3 linked regions of the Rhinolophus ferrumequinum genome follow. The protein of the gene in region 2 purifies or fractionates together with the protein of the main gene of each other region. This does not show direct contact. Links are inferred from orthologs where the notes say so. Each region holds a gene or a part of one and is shown on either strand. Other genes may lie near its edges. The genes, in order: JUP, CDH5 and CTNND1.

What was found.
Region 1: the proteins of CDH5 (region 2) and JUP purify together in Homo sapiens (affinity purification with western blotting; 3 studies listed by BioGRID and IntAct, with this or other methods). This does not show direct contact. The link is inferred for Rhinolophus ferrumequinum from reciprocal best matches to the Homo sapiens genes CDH5 and JUP.
Region 3: the proteins of CDH5 (region 2) and CTNND1 purify together in Homo sapiens (affinity purification with western blotting; 3 studies listed by BioGRID and IntAct, counting the BioPlex papers as one, with this or other methods). This does not show direct contact. The link is inferred for Rhinolophus ferrumequinum from reciprocal best matches to the Homo sapiens genes CDH5 and CTNND1.

Annotation. Positions count from the first base shown.
Region 1 is NC_046304.1:37,730,834-37,741,214, forward strand, and holds the start of JUP (junction plakoglobin), read right to left. Parts: upstream 4,577-10,381; 5' UTR 4,401-4,576; exon of another isoform or gene 4,386-4,400; intron 4,347-4,385; exon of another isoform or gene 4,203-4,346; intron 3,768-4,202; exon of another isoform or gene 3,748-3,767; intron 1-3,747. UniProt on the Homo sapiens protein: Common junctional plaque protein. The membrane-associated plaques are architectural elements in an important strategic position to influence the arrangement and function of both the cytoskeleton and the cells within the tissue.
Region 2 is NC_046298.1:16,357,128-16,367,900, reverse strand, and holds the start of CDH5 (cadherin-5), read right to left. Parts: upstream 4,160-10,773; 5' UTR 4,111-4,159; coding exon 4,088-4,110; intron 2,322-4,087; exon of another isoform or gene 2,068-2,321; intron 778-2,067; coding exon 558-777; intron 1-557. UniProt on the Homo sapiens protein: Cadherins are calcium-dependent cell adhesion proteins. They preferentially interact with themselves in a homophilic manner in connecting cells; cadherins may thus contribute to the sorting of heterogeneous cell types.
Region 3 is NC_046294.1:11,449,207-11,459,916, reverse strand, and holds the start of CTNND1 (catenin delta-1), read left to right. Parts: upstream 1-6,283; 5' UTR 6,284-6,521; intron 6,522-10,710. UniProt on the Homo sapiens protein: Key regulator of cell-cell adhesion that associates with and regulates the cell adhesion properties of both C-, E- and N-cadherins, being critical for their surface stability.

The sequences.
Region 1 (10,381 bases), on a different chromosome or scaffold from region 2:
CAGTGAGGAAAGAAAGCAGACCTGTTAACTCACACTTTGCAGGTCACAGAAAGCTGAGCTTCCTGCCTTGAGGGCTCCCGAAGGCTGAGATGCCAGGAGGCTGAGCAAAGGGGAGTGGCAGTGAGCTTTCTCTTCAGGCCCAGCCAAGGAAGTTGCTGGAAACTGGGGCAGTCCATGGCCCCCAGACCTCCACCAGATTCAACCATGTCCCAGGAGAGAGGCCTCCCGGTGTCCCTTGCAGGGACACAAACCCTGATGACCTGCTCCGGCCACACTGCTCTTTCTCTTCACATGGGTGACTGGGCCAGCTGGCGGCTCATGGATATCTGCCCCTCTCATGGCCAGGTCGCTCTTCTCCCAGAAGACACATGACTGATTGTTGCCCCAGGGACTCCAGCAGACCTCAGACTTACCCCAAAGGGTAGTGACTGCTGGGGCAGGATGGCCCTCCCCTAGCTCAGGGACAGGGCCCTGCTTCATCCTCTTCAGAGAAGAGTCACCTCTAAGCTTCCATCTCTCCCTTTTATTCTTCAACTCAAGATCTCATCTCTAACACAGAGCAAGGCCTTCCTCCTGTGGCCTCCATTCCTTCCACAAAGCATCAGTCCCAAAAACTCGTATGTCCTCAGGGGTGACAGAAAACAGCAAGCCCCTCACCTTCTTTATAGCTAACAGCCCCCTGAGCTCATTCTCTTTCCCTTCTCTGTCATGTCAAGTTTCTTCAGCCTTCTCTTCTCCGGGACCAATAATCCTGATGTTTGGGGTCCTTTCCTGCCTGCAAGGGATCCGGAAGCCCAATGCTGACAGGCTCAGGTACGGCCCCCATTTCCCAGGCCCGTTCTGGTATCAGATGCTCAGTTGGCAGAGGTGCCAGAGCCTGGCAGGTCTGAGAAGACAGTGACACCAGCCCCTCCTTCAAGGAACAAGGCTCTGGCTGACCCCACTCATCACCAGAAAGGCCCTCCCCAGCAGCACAAAACCCCTACTGCCAGCCCCCAGTCTCCCAAACAGAAGATAGCCAGCTCCCCTCCCCACCAAGAGCAGTCTGGCAGCACTGCTGGGTACGATCCAGCAGGACATCAGCCCAGTCCTTAATCTGACTCTCATTTCTCTCCTCTCTCCAGGGAGCAGGCCCCCCCCCCCCTTGGCAGAGGCCCAGCCCCCAGCAGAGCAGGTGACTCCCACTTCCTATACAGGGACAAGCCCAGAACAACCCATGGTTCTGCCCACTCAGCCAGGAGGCAGCAGCAGCTTTGACCCCCGCCCTCTCCTGTCCGCACTCCTCCACACATCCGCTACAGTCCCTAGTTTTGGGGAGAGAGAGCCCCCTCTCCCAGGAACTAAAAACCAAACCCAGGGGAGGTTTCGGAGGACTGGAGGCTAGGACGCGTCACCCCTACCTGACAAACCTGCACCCTCCTTCACCACTCACACATACCTTCTCAGGCCCTTCTGAATTCTCTTCTCCCCAAACTCCCAAGCAGAAGCTCTCAAAAAGGAGTGGCAGAAAAACTCTTCCTAGAGCCACAGTGGGGTGATACAGCAGGTTGGGCTCCGGGCTTGGAACGAGAGGACCTAAATGCCAGACCCTGCTTGGGTCTGGCTGTGCAAACTTGGGCAAGTTACTTATCCTCCCGGAGTTTCAATTTCCTCATCTGTAGAATGGGGTAATGATAGCTGCCTCTAGGGACAGTCATAAGGATTAAGTGAGAACAGTTAATGCAAGTGCTTGGTTATCTGCAGCGTCCTCCGTTGCTTAAGTTACCATTTATCAAGTACTTCTTGGGTAGGTAGGGATTATTCCCATTTTGCCAAGGAGGTCACTGGGGTGAAGTGACTTGACCAAAGCCACATAGGTAATGATTCAAACCCAGCTCAGTGGAAGCCCAAATCCCCGTGCTCAGAACGGCCACGCCAGAACAACTCTTCAGGTAAACAGCCCTGCTGGTGATGAGACCCATCCCATTCTAAGATGGCTCTCGCCTGCCTGCCTCCCTCCCAGGCCAGCGAGTGACTCCTCATGGGTATCTCCCCCACGGGCTCCCAGGAGGCAAGCAGGCAGCAGCCCGCACCCTGACCGCCTTCATTCCTCCTGGCGACATTCTCAGAGCCTCAGCTCTGGCAGCCCAAACAGAGGTTCCAAAGGGAATGGGGTGGGGCCGGAGGGTGCTGATGGGGCAGGTGGAAAGGGCTCCTATCACCCAAGCTGGGGCTTGATGGAGCAAAAACTGACTAATTGTATCCTACCGGCCCCCGGCCCCCCCCCCGTCCCCCCCACCCCCCACACACACCCCCCCCTCCCATCTAGTAGGCAGCCAGTTTTCACCAGGCACCTCCTAGAAATCCTTCCTCAGTGTTATCTTTTCATCACAACCACAAACCAGATTAACTAAACGAATCATTTAATCAACGTAATTAGGATGCCTTCCCCTCCTCCACTTTGGGGAGACAAGAGGGAAAACAGGTTATTTTTGCTCAAACTCCATGCCCTTATGGCTCCTCGGAGGTAGTACACCCCCCCCCAGAGCAGAAGAGGGACGGGGAAGGAGCCTGATCCCTGGGGGTGTGGGGCACTCCATGGGGGTCCCCCTACCCCCCCTTTCCCATCTACAAACAAACCAGGTAGTAGGATCTTCCCAAGTGAGTCAGGGCAAACAGCCCTGATTCCCCCCAATCTTCCCTTCACCCCAGGACTGAGGGAGAACCTGGCTCTACATTCCCCTTCTGTTCCCCAGAGAGGCTGGGCTCCAAATCCCTGCAAAAAGATCACACTTCAGATTTTTAAAAACCAGTGCTGAAAGCCTGATGAAGATCATGAACTCTGGCCAGAGAAGGGCCTCTCAGAAAATGGGGGAGGGGGCACTAATTCAGCTCTGCCTGAAACCTTCCCCCCAAAAGCCTTCCTTCTGTCCCACTTTCCTCATCAAACTCTCAAAAGGGGGCAGGTGGAGAAAGGACAGCAAAAGCCTCCAGAAGGAACGCATCTTCAAAATCCAGAAATCAACTGGAAATCAAGGCCCAGTGCTCCTCGCTTCTCGGCCCCAATTACCAGCCAGCTAAATAACGTGGAGAACGGGGTGGGGGGGGGGGGAAAGGACCAGAACAATCGCTTCCCCCACCCACGTCATTAGGCCCGGCTCTGCCCCACCCCCATTCCTGGGGAGGGGGCAGAGCTTGGGAGAGAGTCACAAGCGCAGGCCTGAAGCGAGGGGGTGTGGTGGTCCCCGGAGGCAGGAAGAGAAGGAAGAAGCTGCTTCCCTTTTGGCCCACCCCCCTCATCCCGGCCCCCACCTTGGGCCGAGGGGCCCAGCAAACAGGATGGAGGTGGGGGCAGGGAGGACAGGGTCAGAGCGCAAGAACTGGCCCTGGCTCAGCTTGGCGGGCTGGGGGAGGGGGCTTTGCCCCAAGAAGGACCCCGTCAACCCTGGGGTAAGCCCTGGGCAAGGAGAGAGGAAAGCCCCCAGAGAGAGCTGCCGCGAATACCTCCTTTAGTAAAGTTTGTTTTGGGTGATTTTTTTTCCCGACAATAAGAGGTTAGGGAGGGTAATCCAGTTCCCATATCAACACTGGAAGCCACAGCTACTAGAAACTGGGCCACCCATGCACCCATAACACGAGCCCTCGGCCCAGACCCCAGTCCGGGACACGGGTGCGGAGCGCGGAGTCAGCTGGACGCGGGGCCGGCCCTGCACAGTCCCACTGTCATCCCATCCCATCTCCGCTGGTGAGCCCTAGCCTGTCACCCACCAGAGCAGAGGGTGGCGCCGCAGGTACCGGACCGACGAGGCTCCGGGAGCTGGAGGACAGGGCCTCTGGGCTCCGTGTGCTCACCTGCTCAGCAGGTGGGGCCCGCGTCGCTGGGAAAATGTGCGCTCGGCCCCCACAGTTGGGCAAGCCGGGCGCAGACAATAGGGCCCCACCCAGGCCTGGGGGAGTAGAGAGGGAGGGAAAGCGAGGATGACGCGTGAGGTGGGGTGAGGGTGGCCCCAAAGAGACCAGCGGCAGCAAGTTTCCCAAACAGTAAATTCCTAACTAGAGTGCGCCCTGGGACGCAGACGGAGCAGGTCAAAGTCTCTCCCGCGAGAGAACCAGGCAAGAGTCAGAGACACGGCGTCGGGCGAGCTCTGTGGGCCCCGGGGCAGGCGTGACCCCGGAGGCACCTGCCCCGACCTCTCCCCGCCCTTCTCAGATCCCCAGCTCACCAAGTCCCAAGTGCACTCCGCCGGAGCCTCGCGCCCCTTCAGTCGCCGCGCCCAGGACCCCAGCGCGCCCCCTGCCGCCGGTGCAGGGTGGTGCTCCCTGGCTATCTCCTTCACCTGCCCTGAGACAGCGAGGATCGGCCTCTCGGCCGCTCGCCGCCTTTCCCTCGCCCCAGCGATACTTGCCGCGATCGTCCGCACCTGCGTGTGGAGCCTGGCCGGACTGGGTAGGGGTAGGGCCGGGATGAGAGCCGGCGCGGGCAGCGAACTGAGCTCGGTGCGCTCGGGCGGCGGCTGCTCCGGACTCTGGCCAAGGCAGCAACTCAGTAACTGAACAAAAGGCGAAGGAACCTGACAGCCAAGCCACGCCTCTCGCCCCCTCGAGGCTCCGCCCCTGAGGGAGACGCCCACCCATTGAAGCGGTCTCACTGGCTGCCTCGCCTGACTGTCCCATCGAGGGGCGGAGCCTCGTCCCCAGTCCTCTTCCATCGCCGCCTCTGTTTATCCGCTAGCCATTGGCCCCAAGGACTGCCAGTCGGCTCTGGGGACGGCCTCCAACTTGAGGTTCCATCCTAACTCTGCACCTATTGGCAAATATAAGGTTACTTTCTCCTGATTGGGCAAGGAACTGTCAGTAAGACTAAGGAAAGAACTAATGGGAGGGATGGAGTATGTCTTACCCCACCCTACCTCTGAGCAGGTAAGACTCTTGACTCTCCCCTTTCCCCCTACCTGTCCAACAGGTGAGTCAGAGGGCGCCATGGGAAAGGACAGATGCCTTCACTGGCCAGCCAACTCAGCGTCAGGCATGATGCTTCTTTGGGCTTATTCACCCTTGCCACAAAGTCGTAATAACATACTTGTATAGCATTTCATAGACTTCTTGCTGGTTTGGGGTTTCTTACCCAAAGATGGAGGGAGTGCTCATGAGATTTAGAATTAGAAGGACAGGGTTTGGGTCCTGCCTCTTACTAGTTGTATGATCTTAGTCAAGTTACTTCATCTTTCACTCCTTTTCTCCTCTGTGAAAGTGGGTACATTAGCTATATCTCTCTAACCTGGGTGTGTAGGGGGATGAAATGAAGTAAGGTTTGTGAAATCACTTGGACAACTGCTAAATGTTAGAATTTAAGTAAATGATACGGGGTTTTTTAATTCTCATGACGATTCTGAAAAATTGTTAGGACCACAAAATGATCCTTATTTCAAAGATAAGGAAACTGAAGTTCAGAGAGGTCACAAAACTAGAAAGTGGCACATCCAAAACTAGAACAACTTTCTTCTAATTTCAAGGCCCACTAAACCACATGTTCTCCTAACAGCATAGATATAAAATGTCAAAGCAGTGGGGAGGGGCTGGGAAACCGGCAAAAACAAATATTCTGGGTAGAGACAGAAGAGTAATGATTTAAGAGAAAGTATTGGTGGGTTTGTGAAAAATATCAGGCAGCAGATCTAAAGGAAATCAACACAGTCATAAAAGGAATGGGACAGCAGGCACCATTCGTTAGGGGAAGAGTCTGGGTTAGTTCTCGTTAGGGGAAGAGTCTGGGTTAGTTATCAGAAAGAACTTCCCAATTGGTTAAGAAGACAAAAGTCTCCTTTGTGTGGTTGATGGAATTAATGCCTCCTGTTGGCTGTACAGCGTGCCAAGGTCCTACATTCATTCATCAACATTTAAGTATTGAGCACAACTGTATGCTAGGCACTGGGTTAGACCCTGGTGACACAGAAAGTCAAAATGATCCCAACCCTCAAAGGACTCCCAAAGGGCTAAGTGTAAACAAGTCACCTTAGCCACTCTGTGTGTGTGTGTGGGGGGGGTGGGGGACGTGGGGGGTTGGGGAGTGGTCATTCAAGAAAGGGTCTTTCCTCTAAAAGCTTTATAGCCCCAAAGCTAGCACACAGGATGGGCTGGGTACCCCAACAGCATCCTTGACCACTTTACCCACCAGAAAAAAGAACAGTGGCTGAACAGTAGCTAAGTCTCACTTCTGAGGCTTGTGCCATCAAGAAGTCTTCCTGGAGGGGACCAGGGAGATATTAACATCTCAAACCAGTTGCCATCCCGCAGGCCAGGGCCACTGTCCTTTGCTTTGTTTCCCTTACAGCCCCTCCTCCAGCTTATCTCTGTATTTTTCTCCCTACCTTCCTCCCCAACTGCTTGTCACGCTGCCACACAGTACAGTAGCCAGCCCCCAGCATGGGAGGAAAAGAGCAATCCCTAGGCTGCTGCCACCATCCACCAGGGTTTCACTTCCTCCTTCTTCCATCTCTCCACCCCCACCTGGCACACTGACACACACTTCCCAGACCCAAGCCTGGTTTAACTCCTTCCTTTCTCCTGACTTCAGCATACAGGCAGGGTAGGGCTGGTTGACTGCAGATGGGTGGAGAACCCTGGGTGTGGTGGAGGGGCAGAAAAGAGGCTTCAGAATAAAGCCTATGTGTGTATACGTGTGTGTGTCCCCAGAATTCTCCCTGTCTGTCAGCCTGGAGCATGCTACAACATGCTGGCCCCAGGCTCTGGCTGGGCCTGGATAGGGGCACCACCACAGCAGCAAGAAAGACTGGGATAAGAGCTCTGTTTCTCCTCCCAGGTCAAGAGATTTTTCTACACATTTATTAAGTGCCTACTATGTGCCTATCAGGCACTGAAGATTCATCTGTGGGATCAGAAAATGATGTTTACTAGAATCACCTGTCTGTTTCAGGGATGGAGTCTCACCGGGTGAGGAGGTGCCTAGGGATACGATCGGATCGGATGAGAGCTGCTCTGGCCACAGTCTCCTCTGTAGTTTGAATTTGAAGGAAAAACCACAAGGCCATTTTACCCAGTCCCCTGCCTCTAAGCCTTTAAAGGCAGGGACTTCTGTTTGCCAGATCTCCAGAAAAGGAGATTGTCCAGCCTCCCTTGAACACCCACGTCTCCTTATTCTAACACTGGTAAGTTCCTTCTGATGTCTAACTTCAATTCATATTCCTGCAATTTAAACCCATTTCTCTTGCCCAGAGCTCAGTGGAAGCAGTCCCTGAGCTGCCAAGAATATATATGGTTCATTCAACCATTCAACTTTGCAGCTTTCTGGGGCTTCAGAGTAAAGAAGAAAAGGGCACCAAGCTGCCCCAGAGACAGAAATTACTAGCAAAGAGGGGTCCAGGCCTATGAGGGGCAGGTGGGAGGGAGGGGAGCTGGTGAGGATGAAGAGGCACTTCCTTGGGGGAAGGTGAACAACAGCCAAGCGCCTCTCCCTCATCTCACTTCCCTTCATCCTCCAGGAGCAGCTGGGCCATATAAGGAGGTAGAAGAGATTCTGCTGTCTGTTCAAACTTGGCCCTTTTTCTGTGGGGGCCCCTTCCCCAGACAGAGACAGGCAGAGATGTAGGTCTGCACAAGCCAGTCAGCCTCTGTGCTCACGCCTCAGGGGTATACACTCCCCACTCATGGGCTCAGATTCAGACACACAACTGCCAGCCCTGTCAGCTCTCTCCCAATACATGCAAACACACCCACCCTCAATCTCTCCCACCCCTCCCCCACACACACCCTTCTTCCCTCCTCTTGGGCCTAAGCTGGCCTCAGGAATGGCTACCTCTATCAAGAAAGACCGGGTGAGCAGATGGGTTGCTAAACTTCAAGCTGACGATGGTTTCTTTTCATCACCCAGCAACTCTCACTGGCGTCACTGCAGCAGGAAAGGAGAGCAGTCAACGGGAAGTCTGTCCCAGTGGCAGGCTGGACTCAAAGGCAATGCAAAAATCAAGAAGCATTGTGAGCTTGGGCCTGCTCTCAGCCTCAGGGGAGAGAGCCATCCATAGACTGGGAGAGGGGCCTCTGTCCTGGGTCCTGCCCTTGGAAGCCCCCGCCCTGCCCCTGGCTGGTCCTCCTGGGGTTGTGACCCTCCTCAAGGGGCCAGGGTACCAGCCTACACAGAGTTCATCCCTTTCCCCTTTGAGACCACACTCCGGGTACCGGGCACTCTGGAATTCCTTGCCCGGCACTGACCCTTCCTTGCAGGGCCTGCAGGGCCCTTACTCTGGTCCTTCCTCCTGAGAACAAACAGTAGCACCATGCATGGTGGTATGTGCACCAGCAAAGGGGGGCAGGGGGCAGTTGTGAGGGAAAGATGGGCACAGCACAGACATGCGAGCGGGGGTGTCCACACACGTGCTGGAGGCCCTGTGCAGTGTGGGGGCAGCCAGGCCTCAAAGGAAAGGGGAGATGGCCCAGGGGACAGTTATCTCTGCACTGCCGTGTTCTGAGGAGTCAGAATTCTCATTCCATCCTGGCCCTTCAGGACACTGTGCAGGTCTACTTGTCAAGGTGTATCTTGTTTAACAGTTTGTTAGCTTGATCTATAATTTATTTAGATCTACATATACGGGCCTCCATTTGCAAGCCTGCCCCTGCCCACAGGTGTTGGGGTGGGGTGAGGCTGGCTCAGGGTGATCCTTGAGCAGGGGAGAGGACGTTGGGTGCTGCAGAAGAGCCTCTGGCTCCCAAACTCTTCTGGTGGGAGGGGGCCCAAGCACCCCCCCCCCAGTGTGGGAGCAGGAACAAGATAGGATGGTGCTAGGCACTGGGAGGGGGTATCGGGGTGCTCCTGTCTGTTTTGCTGTCCTTTGTCCAGGGCAGGAGTCTGGAGGCCAGAGGCTGCCCAGGGCCTGGGGCTGGGTCTTTGGGTGTGTGCTCAGCCACTGGGGAGGCCTCTTAATTATAGAGGTAGCTCCAGCAATACTTCACTGCAAGCTGTGGGTGGGGATGGAATGTCAAGGGAAAACAGGGAGACAAGAAAACAGAGATAGGACAAGCCAGAAATAGCACAGGCCAGGGCGAGATACCAGGGGCCAGTGATGGTAGTCGGGGGAGCCGCTGGAGGAAGGTCAGGACCTCTCCTGAGAATGTCTATCCTGGGGTTGCCCTCCCTTGCCCACCCCCAACCCCACCCCTCAGGTGAAATTCCAGGACTTCAGGAATCCAACAGCAAACATCAGGAATATATTCTGGTCCTGGGTCTCCTTGGCTGTCTTAACACCTCCTCTGGTCCTGAGTGATTAGGTGGGGGACGGGAGGGGGCGAGGCCTTGCCCCCTGAGTCACCTCCCTTCCGGCTCCTGGCCTGGGTGACTTCACACAGGCTAAAACAGCTAGGGCCCCACCCACCCTACCAGCCTGCCTGCCCTGACAGGTGCCCTTCCCACAGAGAAGCCACCCCTCCCTTCCCCGCTCCAGTACACACACACACACACACACACACACACACACCGCAGGAATTTCGTTTCTCCCCCACCTGTCCAGAGTCCTTAGGAAGAAAAAGAAGGAGCAGTCTAATTAGAATCTCCTTCCTTGTATCTAAGGGGAAACTGAGACTGGAGCCAGATGAACTTCCCTAAAATCACACAAGCAAATTCCTGGCAGGATTGGGACTTGAACCTTTGTCTTCTGCCCACCAGCTCACCATTGCCACCAATTTAGGTCTCTCCATCCCAACAAAGGTGGGATGCAGTGGTAGGGGTAGAGATAGATGAAAATCAATTTTGTGGCAAGTCAGCTTGAAGTATGACTTCAGGAAAAGCTCAGGATTAGACAGCCAGGACTAAGGAAGGGGTGGGGTGGGCTCTGGGCTGGCCAGCTCTCCTTGGGGTTCTAAATCTGTAACCTCCCCTCACTTCCTCTAAGCCCTCTGAGCCACAGCCATGGATTACACAGAGACCCTCCCCCCAGTTCACCAGCCCTCTCCACCTCCCTGGTGGGGCTGCAACCCCACCTTAGTGGGGGCTAGGGTCAGGACTTGGAGTCCCTTGTGTTGTACACTAATCCCATCTTCCCCAGTCCTATCCCGTGGCCACCAGGGAATTTGAGAGTTGAGATCCTTGAATATTTCATCAGCACTTCAGCCTCCAGTTCAACAAGCAGCCAACTTAACAGCTCATGGATAATTTATGTCTCCAGCAGAGAACCTGGAAGTCCTGAGGGGGAGGGGCAGGGAGAACGGGGAGGGTGAAGGCTGGACCCGGCTGTGGTGAGGGTGCTGAGAGAAGCCAGCTCCATCCAGTGTGTGTGGGGTGGGGGTGGAGGAGAAAGCCAGGAACATTTCCATTTTTGATAGCAATGTATTATTTAAAAAAACAACACGGTGTTATCAAAATAATTGTGCTAAAGGTTAAAGTCAGATGACAAGC
Region 2 (10,773 bases):
GGCCCTTCTACCAGTGATATTTGGTCCATGGACCAAGATCTGGGAGAAAATGAGCCATAGCCTTCAATATCGCTTCCACCAGCGTCCCGGCCGTGATCACCACCACCAACTTCCCGTCCGTCGGTATTAACACCATGATCACCACGACCACCACCTTCCTCTTCTCCATCACCATCACCAGCACTATTCTCATCATCACGGCAACAACTGCCCCTTCCTCCTCATCACCGTCACTATCACCGCCACCACCTTCCTCTTCACCATCACCTTCATCGCCACCATTATCATCATCCCCATCGCTGCCACCACCATTGCACCAGCACCGTCACATCCATGATCACTATCACTACCACTGCCAACGTCCCCTTCCTGTCACCGTTATCACCACCACCACCACCGCCACATCTACCACCTCCACCATCTATACCACCATTACCATCCCCTCACAACCATCATCCCCACCCCTACAACCGCCCCAGTACCTGTCACCGTCTTTACTACCGTCACTGCGGCCCGCCTGCTGCAGAGGCCTCGCCTGCTCTGGGCCTGAGCCTTACCTTGCCCACGTAATGGGGCAGGGGCGCGTTTCTCTCTTCATCGATGTGCATCTGGTTCCAAATCCAGTCTCTCTTGTGGCGCCGGAGGGTGGGTAGCATGCTGGGAGTGTCCAGCTGGGCAACGTGAGCACTCGTGGCAGTTGCCACCAGCAGGCACAGGCAGGTGCCCATTGCGGCCAGAAGCATCGGGAGCACATACATCTTCCCAAGAGGCACAGATCTGGGGACAGAGAGGAAACACCGTCAGGGCCTGTTGGTCCCTATGCTGGGGTGTGAGCAGCTCCCAGGGACAAACGAGCCCCCCTTATCTGTTCATTCCTTTGTCCTTCACCCTCTGCCGATCCTAGCAGGACCAGACTCTGTTCCTGCCCCCAAAGAGCTCCCAGCCTGGGAGGGGAAGACAGGCACAGCAACAATTTGTACTTCATGTCACATGTGCTGGTGTGGAAGCAAGTGCAGGCGAAGGGAGAGCCCAGAGGAGGGCTGCGGAGAAGGCGTCCCGGACGAGAGGGTGATGCTGATGGTAGCTCCCGAAACCTTGTGCGGTGGGCACCCAGTTATCCTTATTTTACACGTAAGAAAACCCACACACAGAGAGGTGCAGTTCAGCTTGGAGCAAGTGGTGGGGCTGACAATGGATCCCAAGAGTCTGACTTCAGCGGCTAACATTTATCGAGCACTTATCAAGTGCCTGACACTGTTCCAAGCACTTAATGGGTTGTCTCACTTTAATCCTCCCAATCACCCTCAAGGTGGGTATAATTGTATCCCTCATTTTGCAGATGAGCGGAGGAACAGAGAGGTTTAGGAACATTTCTGAGATCACTCAGACTGTAGGCAGCCGTGCCAAGATTTGAAGGAAGTCTGTCTGGTCCAAAAGTTCATGGTTTTTCTTACTGCTCTCTCTTTTCCCAGCAGCTGCTATGACATGGGATTTCAAGGCTCCTCTAAATAAACATGTCCTTTGGCCAGCTTTGGAGCCCATGTAGCAGTGTGGCTTTGATGCTGTCTTCAGACGGCTCTTAGGAAACCCAAGTGTGTTAACCCAGAGGGTCAGACCTCACCCCCAGAATTCATGGGAGATTATCAGTTCAGGAGCTGTCAACAGAGCAGGGGTGGGTGGTGTGGGGGTTGAGAGGCTGGGCTTACAGTAGCTTCATCATTTTCAGGGCCCACTGCAAAATTTAAATGTGCGGTCCCATGTTCAAAAGTTATTAAGAATTTCAAGATAGCGACAGAAGAACATGAAAGCAGGCATGGGGGCCTTTTAAGCACAGGGTCCCTTGTGGTTGCCCAGGTCCATGCCTTTCAAGGCAGCCTTCGGGACATGGGATCAGCCCAGATTGGGATCTGGGTTCCCCATCGATGGGGGCCTAGCGTCCTCCTGAATTCCAGGGAGAGGGATTTTCCCCACTGCCCCACAGTGGGTGGAGGCTCTGACCTTGGCTGTCACTGTGCCCTCAGCCCTGACCCCTTCAGTCCACCCCTGCTGGGTCCCTGTGTCACTGACCTGTGGCGTGTGGGATGGTTCAAGGGAAGGAGGCAGGTGGTGGGAGTGGGACCAGCGCTCCTGCCTGGAGAGACGAGGACTCACAGGGTGCTGCTGGAAGGAGGCCCACTCCCTCCCTGACTGTCCCCTGCTTTGGCCCAGGGGAGAGGCTGGACTCTGCACATCACAGGAGGTTTCCAAACTCTAGTCACATTTCTTCTGTGACACTGGCGCCAGGCTGGCCTCAGTGAGGGCCGAGGGTGTCTGTCTGTGCTGGGCCAGCCTGTTCTCTGGGTCTGCTGATCTTAGCATCCGAGGTTCCCATCCTGTGTCCCCTGCCACTGGCCCAGGAGGAAGTGGGCTCCTGGGTTGGGGTGGAGCAGAGCAGGCCCCAAAATACAAGTACCATGTGCCTCCAAGGTCCTCCTGCCTCCGCCTCTCACTTTCCTCAGTCACAAATGAGGCGACAGACTTGGGAGAGATCCAGTTCCCTTTGAGGTGGGTGTGGCAAGGGCAGCCATTCCAGGCGCGAGGCAGGGAGTGAACAAAGCCACGGGGAGGTTGGGAGTCCTGGCCAGGAAGCTGGTTCTGACTTAGGGAAGGCAGCGGGCGTGACCCCTGCCCCAGCCTTGCTGGGCCCGAGCCTGGTGGGTCATTTCCTTTTTTGCTTAGAAAGGAACTGCAAGTCTTAGTTCTTTCTTCCTCCCTCAAATGAGAAGTGACTCGAAAATGAGAAAATGAAACAAACAGAAGTGAACCTGAGAGAGAGAGAGAGAGAGAGAGAGAGAGAGGTACTTTTCAGGCTTCTGAGCAGGACAGGGTGTGAACCCTGATGGGTATTGAGCACCTACTGTATGCTGGGCCCCATGCTAGGCATTGGGGTACAGCAGTGAGCAAGACAGACAAGAACCACCCTCAGGGAGTGCACACTGTAGTGGGAACACCGGGAAAATAAGTAAATGAGGAAAAACATCAGCTAGTGATCAGAGGGTCCCAGGGAATTACAATGGGGGACACAACAGAGACCGAGGGAGCAGCTGGTTGAGATGGAGAGGCCAGGAAAGGCCTCTCATAGAGATGACAGCATCTGAGTGTTAGTCCTAGAAACGCCAGGGGAAGGAAGGGAATTCTAGGCAGAAGGACCAGCAAGTGCAAAGGCCCTGAGGTAGAAAAATGGTTAGTGTGTTTGAAGAAGCAAAGGAGGTCCCTGGGTCAGATACAAATGAACAATGAGGGAGGGCAGATCACAAGAAGAGGTGGCCAGGTCAGTGTGGTAGGCTGCATGGTGCCACCCACACAGATGTCCACATCCTCCTCCCAAGAACCTGTACGTGGCAGATATGATTACGTTAAGGATCGTGAGATAGAGAGATTATCCTGGATCATGTGGGTAGACAAAATGTAATCAAAGGTTTTTAAAAGGTGAAGGAGGGTCAGAATCAGGAAAAAGGAGATGTGACAATGGAAACAGTGGTTGGAGTGATGCAGGATCATAGGCCAAGGAATGAGGGTGGCCTCTAGAAACCAGAAAAGGCAAGGAAATGGATTCCCCCCTAGAGTTTGTAGAAGGAACACAGCCCTGACTTTAGCTCACTGAAACCTGTTTCAGACTTCCGACCTCCAGAACTACAAGGTAACAAATAAATACATTTGTATTGTCTCAAGCCACTGTGTTTGGGGAGGTTTGTTACAGCAGCTGTAGGCAACTAATGCAGTCTAATTGTGCAGTCAGCTGTGGGGAGGGGGCTGGCTGGGCGAGGGGTGACCCGTCACTGTCATACAGGAGAGAGTTGATGGTGGTCCAGCCCAGGTTTAGGAGGGGATGGCCACGGGGACTATTTTTGGGGTACAGTTAACAGGACTCACTGGTGAAGGGGAAGTGGGGGCGAGGGATGGGAAAGAATGAGGGAGGGCTCCCAGTCTCTGGCCTGAGCAGTGGGGGGACAGCAGGGTCTTTCCTGAGATTCAGAAGCCGGGGCTGTGGCGTGTTGGTGGGGAGGAAACCAACAGTTCTGTGCGGACTGTGTCAGGTTGCAGTTACCTATGAGAGGTCTCTGTGGTCATGGCCAGCAGCTGCTGGAGACCCGCCTGGAGTCTGGGGGAGCTTGCAGTTACCGTCTGGTCACTGTGTCTGGTCACTGTGTCTGGACGGTGTTCAAACTGCGAGGGTGGAACAGTAAGGAGAGCAGGTAGCTGGAGAAGAGAAGTGACCCCAGGACAGCACCCCCGGTTTTGCCTCTTTCTCTGTCTGGTGAACTTGTCCTTCAGAGTTGAGGACAAGTCCTCTGGGGACCGTCCCTGGTCCCTGCGTCACAGCCCTGCTTTCCCGACGTCCTCCACTGGACTGACATCCAGGCCCCAGGGCAGGGCTCAAGTCAGAGCTTCCTCTGCTTCCTGGAGACCATCTTTCCCTCTCACCCCAGCTATGTCTCCCCTACTCAAGGCTCAGCCACATGTCACACGTGGATCGTTGCTCTCTGGGCCCACTCAGTGCGGGGTGGTGGCTATGACGGCAGCCTCTGTAGTTTGCAGAACCTCCGTTGCATTGCTTTGTTGCTAAGCGACTGTGCACAAGACACTTCAGCCCTCTGAGCCTGTTTCATCCTTGGTGCAGTGGGAACACCAGCATCTACCTCTCAGGGTTGTCTTCAGGTTGAATTAGAAAATGTTTGTGACGTGGACAATAAGCAGTAGCTAAAAATGGAACCAAAGGTGTGTGGATTCTCACTGCCACTGGGTCTGCTCCCTCGGGGACTCTACTTACCCTTCTTGTTCCTTCACACCCCATCACTTGGTGGAGGGATTTGCAGGTCCCCTCCTGCCAGATCCAGTCCTCCCACGCCTCCCCTGACCTCTGCTCTGTGTCGAGGGGCTGACCCCTGGGCTTTCTGGCCCTGGCTTCTGGTGTTTGGCCAATAGGCGCTCCAGCAGGAGCTCTCAGGATGGGAGGAGAAAGCGGGATTAGTTCTTCCCTTTGGCTCTTTGTGCTGGTTCATACCATTTGCTGTGGCTGACAGCTCCTGGTGGGCGGGAAGCCCCTCCAGGGTCCTGGCCCTGACTGGGTTCTGGAAACAACCCTCCCTCCTCTGTGCCTTTGGCTCTGGGTGGTAACGGCTTCCACTGTTGCTGGTGTCCACGTGCCTCAGTGTCCCCCTTGTTCCCTTAGCTGAGCTCCCGGCTCTGTAAGTAATCCCTCCGAGCCCCCAGAGTAAATACTGTTTCCTGTCAGGACCTGTCTGCCCCAGTGAAGAGGAGCACAGCTTTCTCTTGGGGGGGCCTGCTTGGATGAGCTCGACGTCCCAGGGCTGACAGCATCCATCAGCCAAACAAATATGTAACCATGCTGGACTTAAATAAATCCGAGGCCACCTGTCACAGGCTCCGGCCACATGGCACACAGGGGACAGTAACCCCTCAAGGGGCTTTGTCTGGCCCCACATATAAAGTATGATCTGAATGTGCACATCCATTCTGTGTCCAGCAGAGGCTCTGCGGTGGGCCCTGGAGAGAACTCCCTTGGCACACAGAACTGGGACTGCCCTCCAGAGCCACCCCACCACACCAGTGTGTCACTTGCTGGGGGGAGGGGGCGGGGGGAGGTCTGCATGCTCAGCTGTCTTGTCAGTGGCAGTTAGTGAGGAGGCAGGACCTTGGAGATGAGGACCTTTGGGAGACGAAGCTCACAAAATCCCATCGCCAGCCCCCATCCCGGACCCTCAAGGGCTCTTCCAAGACAGCACTTTTTGGCCGTGGGTGGTGGATGGGGGCTGACGTTCCTGAGTATCTCCTCAGTGGCCCACATTGTCTCATTTAAACCTTGCAAACTATAAGGTAGTTGTCAGTAATCCCATTTAGCAGGTGAGGCTCAGAGAGGTGGAGTGAGTCATCGTAGGCCACACAGCAAGAGGCGGAGCCAGGATTTGAACTTAGGCTGCCTTTCACCCCACATAGTGCTTTTTCCATCATGTGCCCCTCTCTGTGGTGACATTCATGTGCAGTAATAATAATAAACTGTTCTCCATGCTGGGCTTTCATAGCTACCATCTCATTCAGTTTTCACATTATCCCCCGGAGGTAGGAATTATCAGCTCCATTTCACAGAGGAAGAAACTGAGGCTCAAGACAAACAACTCAGAAGGGTTAGACCTGGGACTCCCCACTACCTCTCAGATCTATCTTTTTCTAAATCCCACGCTCCTTCTACATCCAATCTCAGCGGGACCTTAGGGTCTTTTCCATCTGAAAAACTACATTTTATTTGTGTTATTTTGCCTTTTGTGTTAGAAATTTGGCCACCAAAATGGGGGCCAAGAGGAATGGTTTTGTCTAACAATTATTTCACCTCCAACTGCTGTAGAGGGAGAGGAAGTCAGGCAAGAGGATTTGCTGTACCCACAGCTGGCAGCAGCATTTCCCGTGGCTACATCTCTGGAGGTGTAGTCAGAGCCACAGCGGGGTCAGACTTATTTCAGCCCTTTACCGCCCTACAAATAGGAGTCACGTCTCTTGGTTGCTGTCACCAAGTTTTCAGAGGTCAAGGTGCTGCTGGGTGGCTTTGGGTGTGACAGATGTGCAGAGGGTCAGATTTCTGTGCTCAGAAATTCCCAGCTGAGCAGCCAGCCCTGGCAACTTGCCCAACAACTGCCTCGAGGGGAGATGGGATTTGCTCTTTGGGCAGCTCAGATGTGCGTGCCACGCACGCATTGACCAGGTGCCTGTCTGTGTCCCTGTCATCTAGGATTGTGACAATGCCCGTCCCTGGAGCCATGTTGGAGACTTTTGGGGGCAACTCCAAATGGACTCATGGATGAGGTGGGCCAGCTGGCGAACCTGAAGGGGTTGTGCCCTTGGTCAATCTGGGAAAGTCTGGGGGACCCACAATGAGAAGACAGAGTGTGGCCCAGAGACCCTGGTGAGCGGGCATGGAGCCCAGAACAAGGGGCAGAGGAGCCTGGGAGGACCTGGGGAGTGGTTGGGCTCACCCACGCCTGGATGGCAGGTTGGGGCCTTGGAGACGCCCCGGATCCGGGTCTGTGTCCACAGTGAGTGGGACCACTGAGGTCGGAACCTAGACGCCAGGCTTGGTCACATCCTCTCCACCTTTGTATTGCCGTTCTCTCTCCTCTGCCTGGATTTAGTCCCATGTCATCACTTTTCTGAAACCCTCTCTAGGGCCCTGGGGTTACACAGTCATTCAACAAACATAGTGCACCAACTATGTGGCCGGCACAGAATGAACACACCTGGGGAACAAACACAGGCTGCATCCCGGTGGGGGAGATGGACAATAACCTCTTGATAAAAAATAGACCTTCAGACTGTGATGGAGGAGTGCAGGAAGCGGTGAGAAGGCGGGGTGGGGGCGGCCCAGATTGGTCTGAGGGTCTCACTCCAGGAGTGAGTCCTGCCTGTCTCTGTCCCCCTGTGGGATCAGGCAAAACTCCCTTTGCTCTCTTTCTTTTTGTGGCCCCCATGTGTCCTTGAGATTTAGCCTGGAAGGGGCTGTGAGGTCTGCTCAGCTCTGTGTTCTTTAAAAGGAGAGTCTAGGGGGATACAGGGGGCACAAAGGGAGGGGCTGGAACTGCTCCATTTGTAGCTAAATCGACTCTGGGAAGCCTGGACCCAGCTGGGAACTGCTCAGTGGGGCAGCCTGGCAGATGCCCCTAGGCTGGTCCTGCCCCTGACCACTGGGCCGACCCCTGCTCCTTGACCTGACCAGGACCCTGCTCAAGCCTGAGGTTTTAGGGGCTAAGTTCAGGCTTTTGGGGGGGGGGTATTGAGAAGGCTGGAGGGCCCTTGGGGGTGGGGCAGAGGAAGCCTCCAGGTCAGAGATACATGCATGACATCTACAGACACACCACACAGACACACCACCCTCCACTGTGCCTTCACAAGTATACACCCCTGTCCCCAGGCATCTGCCCACGCCAATTCCTGAAGAGTCTCTGCTCTGTGGGTCTGGCCCCTCTGTTCCCACCCAGCACACCCACCATCAGCTGGGACAAGACCTGGCAGCTGAGCCCAACCCTAAGCAAAGCTTCAGAGAGTGGACGGGACGCTCAGTTCCAGCCCAGCCTCCTGCAGGCTCTGGACTCCGGCCCAGAGGCCCTGGGTCAGGGATGAGGGGCTGGGCCCAGAGCACGCAAGAGGTGTGTCTGTAGGAGGGGACGAGCTGGGCCCCTGCTCCCTGTGTGGCCCTGAGCAGCTCTCTGCACTGCCCTCCCATGCCATCCCCCCACACACCTCAGTTCAGGGCTGAGGTTGTAGCTCCTGATCCCCAAACTCCGTCAGGAACTCCCCAATTGTCTGTTCAAACCCCAGCATTTACAGCTGGGCCTTGGCAACTACAGACACCGTGTGAATGAAGGGTGAGGCCTTGGGAGCCTTGGGGATGGGGTGTGCTGGGGGTGGGACTGGGCAGCCTACAAGCTGGCCCCTTGGGACTTTCTCCTGGTTCGTAGCTCAGTTTGGCTCAGGGACCTGCTCCTGTGGGTCCCAGACCTGATCCCCTTCCCTCAGGGTTCTACCAACAGCCCCGTCTTAACTCTGCTGAGAGCTGACCACCCTGCTCCCTTGCTGACTGCCGTCCCTGGCTCCTCACCTCCAGCAGGATGAAGCTGGTTCCTGAGCCAGCACGGCGTGTCCCCTGCCCACGACTCTGGCTCTCCTCTCCCCCACCTCCTTGCCATTTCCAGTCATGAGGAGAAGTAGGTGTTTCTGGGATGCACAGGTCTTCCTCTCTCTAGGCTTTTTGCACAGGCTGTTTCCTCTGGATGACCCTGGATCCCAGAGACCCCAGCATAAATTTGTTTTTAATCGCAAACTAGCTCTAGTGAATTGGTAAGTATCTACCTCAAAGACAGTATTGAAGATTCAGGGGCTGAGTTCAAGTTCAGTGGGAATGAACACTATGGTGGATTAGTGATGTCTGCCATGGGTATGAGAATGGGTGAACGGCCAACGCTGCCTGAATGCCCTTCCTTGCTGTGTCCCCTGGGTGAATGCTTTACTTCTTTTTAAGCCCCGGGCGCCTCCCCCATGAGGTCTTCTGATTGACTCCTGCCCCCAGTACAGCCTGTGCTTCCTGGCCCACGTGCCTCTGAGCAGGCAGGCTCTGGGTCTGTTTCCACTTCATCCAGTATCCAGCTGCATGAACGCAAGGCCCCGGCCCTTGATGGTCAGGTGTTCCCATTGATGCATGTCAGCCTGCCTCAGTCTCCAGTCCTGGTCTTGTCACTCTTCCCTCTTCACTCACAGGATTGAAAACAAACCTGAATTATTTGCAGACAACACCTCGGGTGGTCAGAGTGGGTGCAGTAATTGGTATAACTCAGTGAAGCTCCTCCTTGTTCCCAAATAGCCTCTCTACTGGCCCAGTGTATTGTCATACACACCCCCATTAGGAGATTGGTCCTTTGAGGACAACGAGATTATCCTTCTTATCAGATCCCGATGAACACACACCTGCCTCTGTGCAGGGGACCTCTTACAGGATAGGACTGGTAAAACAGAGGTCATAGGTGGCCACTCACCCATTCCTGTACCCATTCCAGACATCACTAATTCATCACAGTGCTCGTTCCCACTGAACTTGAACTCAGCCCTTGAATCCTCAATACAATCTTTGAAATAGATACTACCGTGTTTCCCCCAAAATAAGACCAGGTCTTATATTAATTTTTGCTCCAAAAGACGCATCAGGGCTTATGTTCAGGAGATGTCATCCTGAAAAATCATGCTAGGGCTTCTTTCCGGTGAGGTCTTATTTTCGGGGGAACACGGTATTCTACTGTAGAATACCAGTTCACCAGAGCTAGTTTACAATTTAAAACAAATTTGTGCTGGGGTCTCTGGGCTCCAGGGTCATCCAGTCTATGCGCCTGTCTCCTAATGGGGCAGCTCTAAGTTTCAAGGAGAAAACACCTGCCCTACAGAGCCTTTTCTAATCTCCTCTGGGCTTCCGTACTTTGGGACTCTGAGGCAGTCCGTGAGGGCAGCAGAATGAGTCCCACCAAGCTGCTTGTTTGAACTTGCTCAGCTGTTTACGAGCTGTGTGGCCTTAGGCTCATCCTTTCCCCTCTCTGAGCCCCAAGCTTCTTCATCAATAATAGCTGCCTCCCTAGTCAGGAGGGAGATCACAGGTATGAAGCCCAGCACACAGTAGGTGTTCAGTAAATGTGTGGGTATCTTGACCCTCATCTACTTAACCCCGTTAGCCTGGTGGCTGTGGGCTCAATTGGCCGACTGGTCGACTCACACCTGACCTCATTTCCTGGTTATGCCCTGGGCCCACCTCCTACTCCCCTCTGTTCCTCTCCAGAAGGAAATCTCATTCATTGCCTGCCTGGCCTGGCCTGGCCCCATGGGCCCTGCTTCCTCCTCCTCCTCCTCCTAATATCTGCACCTGCTAGGATCTGACTGTTATGCTGTGGCCCCAGACAATCTAGTGGTCCTTGAATGAGGTTAGGGATCATTGGGTCCATCCCTGCCCTAGAGAGATGAGAAGACTGAGATTGCCGACCTAAGACCTCAGTCTCCTTCTCTTCCTCCAGGAAGCCTTCTATGATTTCTCCATCCAACATCAGTTTGGACCTGAGTTAGGATGAGCTTTTCAGTATCTCTCCAGCCAGAAGCCAAACTCCTCAGGACAGGACCTGTATCCTAGAACATTCCTTTGCCAGGGTCAGTGGGCTCCTGACTTATCCTGGTACCTGCTTCTATGGCTTG
Region 3 (10,710 bases), on a different chromosome or scaffold from region 2:
GGCTTCAGGGAAGGCCCTGCAAAGCTGGGCACCCCAAAGCTCCGGGCGCCCTGGCCCAACCCTTTTGAAGAGAGAGCCCCCCCCTCGGCGCGAAGGTTTCTGGGAATGGAGCGTGGGGATTCCGGAGGCCGGAATTCAGAGTTCACCCTCACCACCAGCTCCAGCCACAGGGGCTTTGCAGTCACCCACTAGGGCCCTCGTCCTGCCGCGGGCCCCGGCACCCTCATGCACGAGGAGATGATGACAGCAAGAGCCGCCTGAGGGCACGCACGCGGCCCTCGCCACAGACCTCGCGCCGCGGCCCTCCCGCACGGTGCGTCGCAGGGCCGACGTGCTTCCTCCTCCCCAGCTCTCGGGCTTACGTCTACCGGAATACGTCATCCCCATTGGCCGAAGGCTCCTGGAAGAGCCAATCACAGGAAGAGGAGCGCTTTGGGCGGGAGGCTGAGAATCGGAGAACTTGGGAGCTGAGGAAAGATGGTCTGGTCACGAGAGGTAGGGGGAAGGGCCTCCTAGGGAGGAATTCGGATGGCAGCCGACTTCTCGCTCAGCACTCGATGAAAACACTGTGAAAAAGAGGGTCAGGATCCTCCAATCAGATAGGCTCCAAGGCTGCTGAAGGATACCTTCCGCTTCTCTTTGAAGAGGCTGCAAATGGCCTCGGCCCTGCCAAGAGGGCTCCAGGCTTAATGGAGAAAAAAGCCCCAGGATGGCTCTCCTCGCACCTTGTCCCCCATAGCTCTAATCTAGATGTCTCCTAAGGCCAGGGATGTTCTGGAACGAGGTCATTGGGCTAGTTTTTGAATTCAGGTTTTTCTCAGATTCCATTCCAGCCCCAAACCTCCGAGAATTGGTGACTGAGGGTGGGAGGTGGGGTTGCAGGACTTCCCGTCTAGAGTGGTCTCTCTTGTCCTTCCAGAGATGGTTTATTTAGCGCACTTCCTGACTGGAAACAGCTGTTTTCAGGGATGATATTAAAAATTAAACGATCTCGAGATTAAACATTTAGTAAGAATCCTAACCCACGTTATCAATCTGGACAGCGGGTCTTTCCCCTGTGTGCGTTAGGCCCCGGGTCCTGGCTTCAGTTAGATTTTGCCTGATGTCCAGCTCTGGATGAAAGTGGCTGAATCCAAAGCCACTGATGACAAAGTGTGATGAAACTGAGCAGTCCCCCGCTGAGGTCAACTGGAGACAGAAAAGGAAGACGCCTAAAAGGGAACCTGGAAAGGGACAAGATGTGGAAGGGTGAGTAGTACAGTGCCCTCAAATATGTCTATTGATATCTAATACTTTTTCAAAAGGATTTGAGGTAGTTGATTGAAATATGGGGCGGAGTGGGGGGCGGAGGGGGGGGCGGCGGGCGGGGAGGAAGTGTCGGGCATTTCCAAGTCAGGTAATATTTCCCCTGGTTTGAGGCCTCTGTTTTTAAGATGGAAAAAGAAACAAGAACAAAAGACATAGTTTGAAGAGGAAGCAGTTCGTGAAAGGACGTAAAACTTACTAGAAGGACAGATTTTTGATACTGTTTGCGTCACACAAAAGCAAGCAAGCAAGCAAAACAAAAAAAAAGACAGAAGGCAGAACAGTGTTTGTTTATGGCATCTGCTACTGTGGAATCAGGATGTGATTAAGTAAGTGGAGTACCAGTACAGTTATAGGTAATTCTGTGGAGTTCTAACAAAAATATAAATAAATATTCTATCGTCTCATGAATATGTTGTTATCAGGATTAGATTAATTTTCAAGAAGTAGAGAGGACTCACTTCTTGGTTGTTTTCTTTTTTAATCCAATATCATTTTAATTAAATCTTGTGTTAGTAGAATTTCTAAAGGGAATGGTAAGTGGCCATTCTACCTATGGCTTCAAAAAAAAAAAACAAATGACACACTTTGGATGGTAATGTGTAGCCACCAGAGGGTAGAAAGGAGTAAGAAGATTTTGTTTTCCTCTGTATGGACAGCCAGTGATTTTTTTTGAGTTGATTTTTAAAAAAATTTCTTCTCACTCCATAACCATAACCAGTCACTCGTGATTTCCTTGTCTCCCAGTCCCTGGAAACCACAGATCTGCTTTCTGTCTCTATGATTTGCTTGTTCTGGATATTTCATATAAATGGAATCATACAATATATTTTTTAAAAATTTTCTTCTCCTAGGTATTTATTGTTTTAGTCTGTTTTGGAAGTAAATTCATCACAGCTCAGCACTCTGCCCTATATAATAATCTTAATATTTCTTTTTTAAACACAATTTTATTTTCCAGCTCTTCCTTAATCTTTCACCATTTAATGGTTTCTTGTTTCTCTTTGTTTGTAAGTGGTGATGACTGTGGATAGGGAAGTTAAACTTTGAGAGTGGTAAAACTAACAACTGAATGTAATATTCAATGCATAATAAACAAAACAAAACAAAAAAGGAAGGAAAAAAAACCCAAACCAAAAGCAGTGCTGTGTCTCTAAACATATCCTCAATCCATTGACCTCTCTCCATTTTTACTGCTGCTACTGTAGTGAACTCCATGTCACTGTCACTTGACCTTCAAACTAATTTCCTTGCTTTCACTTTGTTCCGTCTTTAATCCATTTGTCACATTAGTAGCCAGATCTTTTCAAAATATGAGTTAGATCATGTCATTCTGCTGTTTAAAACTCTCACAGGCTTTTCTCTACCTAATAAAAACTCCTTTCTCTAACCTATGGAAAGAACCCTTCATATTCGGATTCCTGTCTATCCCTCCCTCATTTCCAACAGCTCTGCTGGATTCAGTGTATTTCAGCCCCACACTTGAGAGCTCTGACATTAGTAGTTACCATTGCTCATATCTTCTCATTGTTGGCCACTTCTTATCATTCAGATTTCAACTTAAATGTCACCTCCCCAGAGAGTTTGTCCCTATGTCCAATCTAGAACAAACCATGAGTCATTCTCATCAGTCTGTTTTAAATCTCTGCATAGTCCTCCATCTGAAATCTTATTTATTAAGCTTCTCTGTTCCCCTGCTAGAAAGTAACTTTTTGAGAGCAAGAGACTTGTCTGTCTCATAATTCTTGACATTTACTAGAAGAGTACCTGGCTCACAGTAGGTGCTCAAAATAACCCAAGTGGAACTAGTCTTTTTATTTTCTATTAACTGATTGTAAACAGTTTTCCCCTAATGAATATTAATCCTCGTGATGCTTTATTTGGAGATAGCTGTTTCAGATAAATTTAATTTTTAACAATTTTTCACCACTGAGCTTTCTTTTTTTATTTGTATATGATTTTATTTTTAATGTTATCTACAAATTCATTAATGTTAAATGATTCCTCCAGGATTACATAACTAGTAAGCCAAGAGACTTCATTCACTCATTCATCTGTTGTGAAATATGAGAGATAAGGCTGAGCTGGGTGCACTTAAAATGCAGGCCGGCTTGGACGTACACACATCAGGGGGTGGCTTGGAACGACTCAGTCTGATCTTTCTGGGCAATAGTCCCTCATCCACAGAGGGGTACAAGTTGGTGGGGGAGGGCACCGTAGGACCAAGGACAGGGTCACTCGCACTCTCTTCAGGTCCCTGACTGTGGCTTGACGGTGAAGAGCTTTTTTCCTGTGGAGGTGGGCAGGCTCTGGCCTTCCTCTTGAGCACAAGAGTGTCAGACAAGTTCTCTGCGTTCTGTCGGTTGCACCTCTCCTGGGACGCCTCCTCCCCCGACGACTTCAACCTCACTGCCCCGAGAGGACAGGGAGTCTGGGTAACAGGCAGTGGCGTTCGAGGGCGGCGGCTGGATGCCACCACCCTGGCAGAGATCGGTGCAGCGCTTGGAGGTTGTAAGCACTCCCGGTTCAGTCTTCTGCACTGAGGGGCCTTCACCAACTTCCCACCCTCTAGCTGAAGGGATTCTAGCTCAGATACTCGGAGCTGACGGGCTCATCCTGGGCTTCTTCTCGAGATACTTCCATCTCTGAGGTATACAAGAAATCTACCAGCTCTGGGGATACACTATTACTAGAAAGACACTGTTCATGCCTTCATAGAGCTTATCTTCTGATGGAGGAGACAGGCACACACACACACACGGAAGGCAAAATACTTGCAAGTTGTTAGTGGTGATGTGAGGGAAGCAAGACCAATCCATTTCTAGAAAATCATAGAATTTTTAGAATATGGCTCTGATCTAGGAACCAACCAGTCAACAAACATTTCTTGTACTGATTGTTTTCCTTCGGCAATCATCTTTGGCTTTTGAATTTGTTATGGAGGAGCAGGAATAGATGGAACGTAGAGGTAGAAGATGTGATAAGGAAATACGGGAAGATTCGTAGATAATGAAAGGCTGTTCATTTCTCTGTTGAATGTATTCGTTTCCCATTCTAGTTCATTTAAAGCCCATCAAACAACTGCTGTGATGCCTGTTTGGTCTTCCTGCACTTCTGAGAGAAGTCCTTTTTGGCCACTTTAGACTAATGGAGTCTGTGGGACTATAGACCAAATATGAGGGGGTGGATAATGACTAGATCTGCCTGATTAGAAAATCACATTCATGCTGAGGAGGAGTGGAATTGGAATTCCAGTTTGGATAATAAGGAAAGGTCAGATTATGGTTAATAAGTGTTACTTTAGTATACTGAATGAATAAATGTGGCTCCTTGAAAGCAGATGAGGATCTTAGCCTTTATCCTGATCACAGTGTAAGATGATGGAAAGAACGTGGACTTTGGAGTCAGATTGCTGAGGGCTTTACTTCTTAGCCAGATTTCAGGCAAGTTTCTTACCCTTGCTGAGTGAGCCTTGATTTCCTCATCTGGAAAATGGTGGTCATAGTATTCTATGGTGGTGTTTTAGAAGTTACAGCTAATGAGTGCAAAGTGCCTCTCACGTGATAGATTCTCCATCATTGGTTGCTATTATTGGGCAATGATGAGCCAATGAAACTTTTCTGGGCAGGTTAGATACTGATAATAATAACAGCTCATTCTTAGTGAGTTTGTACTGTGCCATACATTGTTTAAAGAACTTTATGTGTATTTTAATGCTCACAACAGTCCTGTGAGAGAGAGATAGTTATTATCTTCATTTTATAGTTAAGGAAACTGAGGCACATAGAGAAGATATAATTTGTCCAAGGTCACATAGTAAGTGTAGAGAGGAGGAAGGTTTGAAGCCAGGTAGTCTGCCTGCAGAACCTATACTCTTAACCACTATTCTAGATTATGAAAACTTTATGAAGATTCATCAGCAGTCTACAGGATAGATTTTAGATTTTTCAGTAAGATAGGAAAAGGAAAATTTCAATTTATTACCATCATCGTTTAGTAACTACTGAATGACCATAAAATACTAGTCTTTGTTAAGTTTGTAAAAAAAAAAAAAAATCCAGTCTCTGATCTTCATGACCTAACAGTATAGAACATACTAAGATAACTCTTTACTCAGAAGAATACCTGTATAATCCTTAATTTAGGTCAAGTGTAAAAAGAGAATGTATGAACTAGATTATCTTAAACTTGAAGTTCACAATGCAGGCGAATATTCTTGATGTGAGACTGACTTTTCCTTACACATGCTGTTATCGCCTCTAAATGTATTGCTTGTTTATTGGATTCCATTTATCCTTCCCCTCAAACCGATATTATTTTAATTTGGGGCAAAAGGGAAGACAGTGATTGGCCTTAACTGCCCAGTGGATTCAGCTTCCTTCTAGTTGAAAGTATAGACGCTAAGAACTGTTAACAAGTGCAGACCTTTATTTTTTCTAATTAGCTCTAATGCAATTAAACCAAAACAATGAAATTGAGAGTTTACCTCAGATATCTCCTACCATCCCAATCAACACGTAATAATCCTGTTTTTTAGGATTTTTCTCTCCCACCCTTCCTGTCTTCCTTTGGGAGAATGCTTTGGGGTAGAAAGCAACAAACCAAATAGCAGCAGGCATATAAAATCAGCTCTTTTCTCTTTCTCCACCCGGAAGGGAAGGGAGAGGGAGCAAGAACACCACCATCAAAGGGAACTGATTCTTAGGCAGGCCATTCTAAAACTCCCTTGTTCTTCTACCCCCCCGCCCCCACCAGAGCTCTGCAGTAATTCTTCAGAGATTGTATGGTCTCTACTTTAAATATAAATATATATATAAAACTTCCCCCTGTCTGTCTCCTCCTCTCTCTCCTTCCCCCCCATTTCCTATAATAAAGTTTCCTATTGGATAAAATCAGCTCCCTGATTTATGCCTGGCTCCTATTGGAAGTTCTCAGGGGCTGACATCACTTAGGAAAGCGAGGGGGTAGGGCTGCCAGATCAGTTTGTCACCACCCAGGCTCCCTATCCTTTGGCTGGGTGCAACTTCCATTTTAGGTGTTGGAGCTGAGAGAAAAAAAAAAAAGAGGGAGAGAGAGAAAGAAGACCAGGAAAGATCCTGAAAGGAGGAAGAGGCCGTGAAAAATCACCTACCTTGCTGGATTTGTCTTTCTCACCACATTGACGAAGCCTTGGGTTTCTTTCTTAAAGGACTGGTTTTTAGAAGTCCACATCTGAGGTGTGTGCCTTTTTAAAAAATGTGTACAGACGGGTAAAGGAGGATACGCCAAGTCGAATTTTTGTCTTACGGTAACCTGAGGAAATTTAAAGACGAGAGTCTGCTATGTTAATGGGTGACTTTTAAGCAATTATTAATTTATTTTTCTACTTACTTTGGGGAATTGTATTATATTAAAAAAAGGTAAAATATTCAAGACCCAGAAACAAACTTCTAGGTCTCTCTAATAGAGGGCGATGAATAGATTCAGAAGGGTGAGAGCAATTCTGTAAATTTACAATTTGGTGTGTTCTTTGATTTTATATCTTTTTCTGGATTAAGCTAACAAACTTCTGTTTTCAGAGCCTAAACCAAAGGTTGGTTTTTTTTTGGCATGTTGCGTGTGGGTTGGGAAAGGAATTTGTCCGGGTCGGAAGCTAGTTATACATATGGCTCTTCATATGTTTCAAAACTTTTTTTTTCATCTTTTATCATTAGATTTGTGGAAGCGAAAAGTTGCAGGGAGTTTTGTAGCTTAAATGGTGGTGTTCCCCCCCTAGAGTTTGAACGGCCCAGATCGGTTTCAGCCCTGCTGTCCTGGGTGGATCCCTCTTTTACTTTTCCAGGTGTGGTGGGTGGGAGCCTCATCCTCCTGCTAGACGTTGCCTCCCTGCTTTGCCTTATAAGAGAAAACAGATGGATCCATGTTAAATGAATTGTTATCTCCTTTTCTTCTAAAAACTACCTTCGATGGCAAGATGTGTTGTTGGATGTTCAATCTGCAAATATGAAAGTGTTTGGTTTATGTGCTTAAAGGCATAAGGAAATTGTAATCATGCTTTTTAGTTCACCTAAGTGGCAATACACCTGAAAATATTTTCAGCTTTGTGCTCTCTTAAAGGGCCATGGATTAAATAAGGTTAGGCTAAGAGAAAACACTTATATAAACTTTAGTGTTCAGAATGAATTTGAGAAAGCACAAGGGGAGTTCTTATTTTAAAACAAACAGTTCTTTTTTGGAGGTGAGTTTTTTGTTTGCTATAAAATCAAAAATCTGTTAAGAGCTGAAGGCCCATGACTGCTTTCATATTTTACATTTAATCTTAAGATTTGTTTTTGCAAATGCATTCTTGCAAAAATACTGATTCTAGATAATTACATAGCCAACTCATCAGTAGCTGAAAACTGGGTGTTCTCTTCCTTCTCCCTTTGAAAATGCGAATCAGTCTGAAAATTATAGCTGGATTAGATACTGCCCTAATTGTAACAAGATGGGCCTTAATATGTAAACTGCTCATTAGCTTTAAACTGGAATCTACCTATAATCTCTGATTTTGTGCCCCTTCTAAACCCAGTTTTTAGACGAGAACACTTCCTTGAATTTCTTTTCTAGAACTGAGATTATTTCTTGAAAGATGATTTCATACTTGTAAGTTTGTGGCTTCACAGGAAACTAAACTAATATAATCTATGCAAGGGCTACAGTAAGATTTTAATACCTGGATCTCATAATTATAGCAAGTGCAGTTAAAAAGGAAGAAAAAAAGCCAATGTGTACAGTCTGTTGGGTTATAGTTCTTATTTAATATTTTCCAGTTTTTCTTTCAAATGTTCTCTCTGCCTTGACTCCAGCCTAGAGAGGTTTCTTGGTGGATCTTTGAAGGGTTGGTCATGTTGCTGCCAGAGTGTCGGTTTCCTACTCAACCTTTAGGGGGAGGGATGAGGGAATCTGAAGAAGGAGTACAAAGGCAGTTTGAAAATAGGTTCTGGATGACTGAGTGGTGGTGCTTTGGGTCCAGCTTTAAATATTGGGCTTTGTGTAGCCGCAGTAAGTATCCTAGTTAACTATCAGCCAGGACTATTTCCCCGAACTGAGGCATTGTTTTGACTGGTATGTACCATAGAGCCTTTTGCATGATAAGATGGAAGATTGTCTTTTACCTCACCTCTACCAGTTCTTTCAGGAAATATAGTCAGGGATGCGAATAAGTACATCCTTTTATTTTTTTTGTTTCGCTCCTCCTTTTGGTTTTGGGGTAAAAAATGACTAGTAAGTATGAGTTGTGCAGATTTTTCTTTCCTTGTTTGACTCCTGTATACTGTTGGTTTCTTTGTTATATGACTAAGGTATGTACGGTCTGTGTTCCAGGTGGGGGTCTCTTGTGGGTGGTTAGAGTTCTAGTGCCTTTCTTAGGGTTCCAGTTACAGAGAGTCAGAAGGGCTAGAACATGTTCTTTCAGGTAGTATAAAAATTGGTACTATTGGAAATCTTAGGAAAAAAACGAAAAGCTCCAAGTAATTGCAATTCACTTAGGTTTATGAGGTAGCTGCTCCCTAAGGATGGCTGCAAATAAATTAAGCATAGATCACTATTCATTTGGAATAACAAAATGATTAGCTCTGTATAATTTATTGCTTTCTATTTTGATACTTGATGGCCCCGTTACTAACTGCCAGGCCCTCCCCACCTTGTTTTTTTACTGCTTAGCATTTTTTATGCTTAGCCTTTTGCATAAACCATTTATTTAATTTCCCACAACAACTGTTGTTGTTTTTTTTTGTTTGTTTGTTTTAAAGGAATTTGAGCCTCATAGAAGCTGAGGTTTGCTGAAAATCTCATTGCCCATAAGGGACCAAGGCTAGGCTTAAACCCTGGTCTGACTAACTACAAAGTCCACGGACTTAACCACTAATACCCTGCCATTCTCCAGAGAGAATAGAAAAAAGATCCAGAACTAAAATGAGCCCTTGCTAGAGGCCAGAGTGCTTTATCTTGCAGAGGGTCAGTCCTCACTTAGATTTCCAACCCCCTCCCTGTTGGAATAACCTATGTGAAAAATCCATTTTCCATAAAGCCGTGGGGAGCTGGATATGCTAGAACGGATGTTATTTCAATCTTTAGAACAGAGATCTTTCCATATGCACAGCATTGCTGTCCTAATTTCTTAAACTTACTTGAAATGACTCAAACTTAATTTGATTATCAGTGAAATTTCTTCCAGAGAATTTTCAGGCATGATATTGCCAACTTGCAGGGTAGAGGGTTGTAGCAGGTAGAGCAAATAATGTTTATCATACTGTATTAAAATAGTCTAGTTTTGTCTTTCCTTCTAGACTATGAGCTGCTTGAGTATAGGCACTGTCTTATCTCTGTATTCTCTTAGCACCTATGGTAGTGTGTGGTATATACTGAGGTGTTCAGTAAACCTTGGTTAAATAAAAGGCACTTGATGACAACGAGTGAGGCACCTTTGGGAAACGCTGAAGGGAAGTTGAGATAGGAAGCACTACTACATAGATTAATACAATTGCAATGTAATTTTGAAACTTTACTGTAGTCTGTAGTTTCAAACTTTGACGCATCTCCCACCTTTCATTTTTAAGTAAAGTTTCTGGAAATAATGAAGATTTAAATTAAATTTTTTAAAATCCTGTTTCCTTTCTGGGCAAGCAGTCCAAAGAATAGTATAAAAAAGTAAGGGTCCTAGTCAGTTCATTTCATTACATCGGTAGCTGTTAGTTAACTTAAAGCACTGAAACCTGAGTTTAGCCATTTCTAGGGGAGAGGGACTGGTTACCTAGAACATATTAGGGCAGTGGCAGGCAAGTATTGCTTTCAGCCATGTTGGAAGTGATTGGTTTTTATACTTGTTAATACAAACATAAAAAGCTTGGGATGGTAATTTGAACATCAGTGTTTCAACAAAAGTGTGTTTGGATTATCACTGTATTTTTTGTCACTGCTACTGCCATGAAACTTTGGGAGATTTTGTTCACAAAGTGTATTGGGAAGTTTATGAGTTTAAGAACCCAAATTAATTTTCACGGGTAATTCAGAATAATAGTAACAAGAAACTTGCCTGAAGGAATGTATCGCAGGTAATCAGTATGTTATTTCAGGTTCTCTTTCCTCTCAAAAGGGGCTAAATGCCATGAGAAGCTGAAATAGGGAAGGCGCTGCCTAAACGCAGCTGCCTCCCAGGTTTCTTATAGAGAGCACTGAGACAGCCTGGCAGGGAGCTGGTGAGGAGAGGAAAACAACTGTTCTGGTTAGAACAAGGGGGGAATAAAGGTATGCATTGATTTGTCTGTAATGATACTGTATAATATATCTTTAGAAGGAATTTGTCCCTCTAATTCTACTTGGAATATTTAATATTATCTACTTGGAATATTTAATATTATTAAATATTGTTGATTGTTAAATATT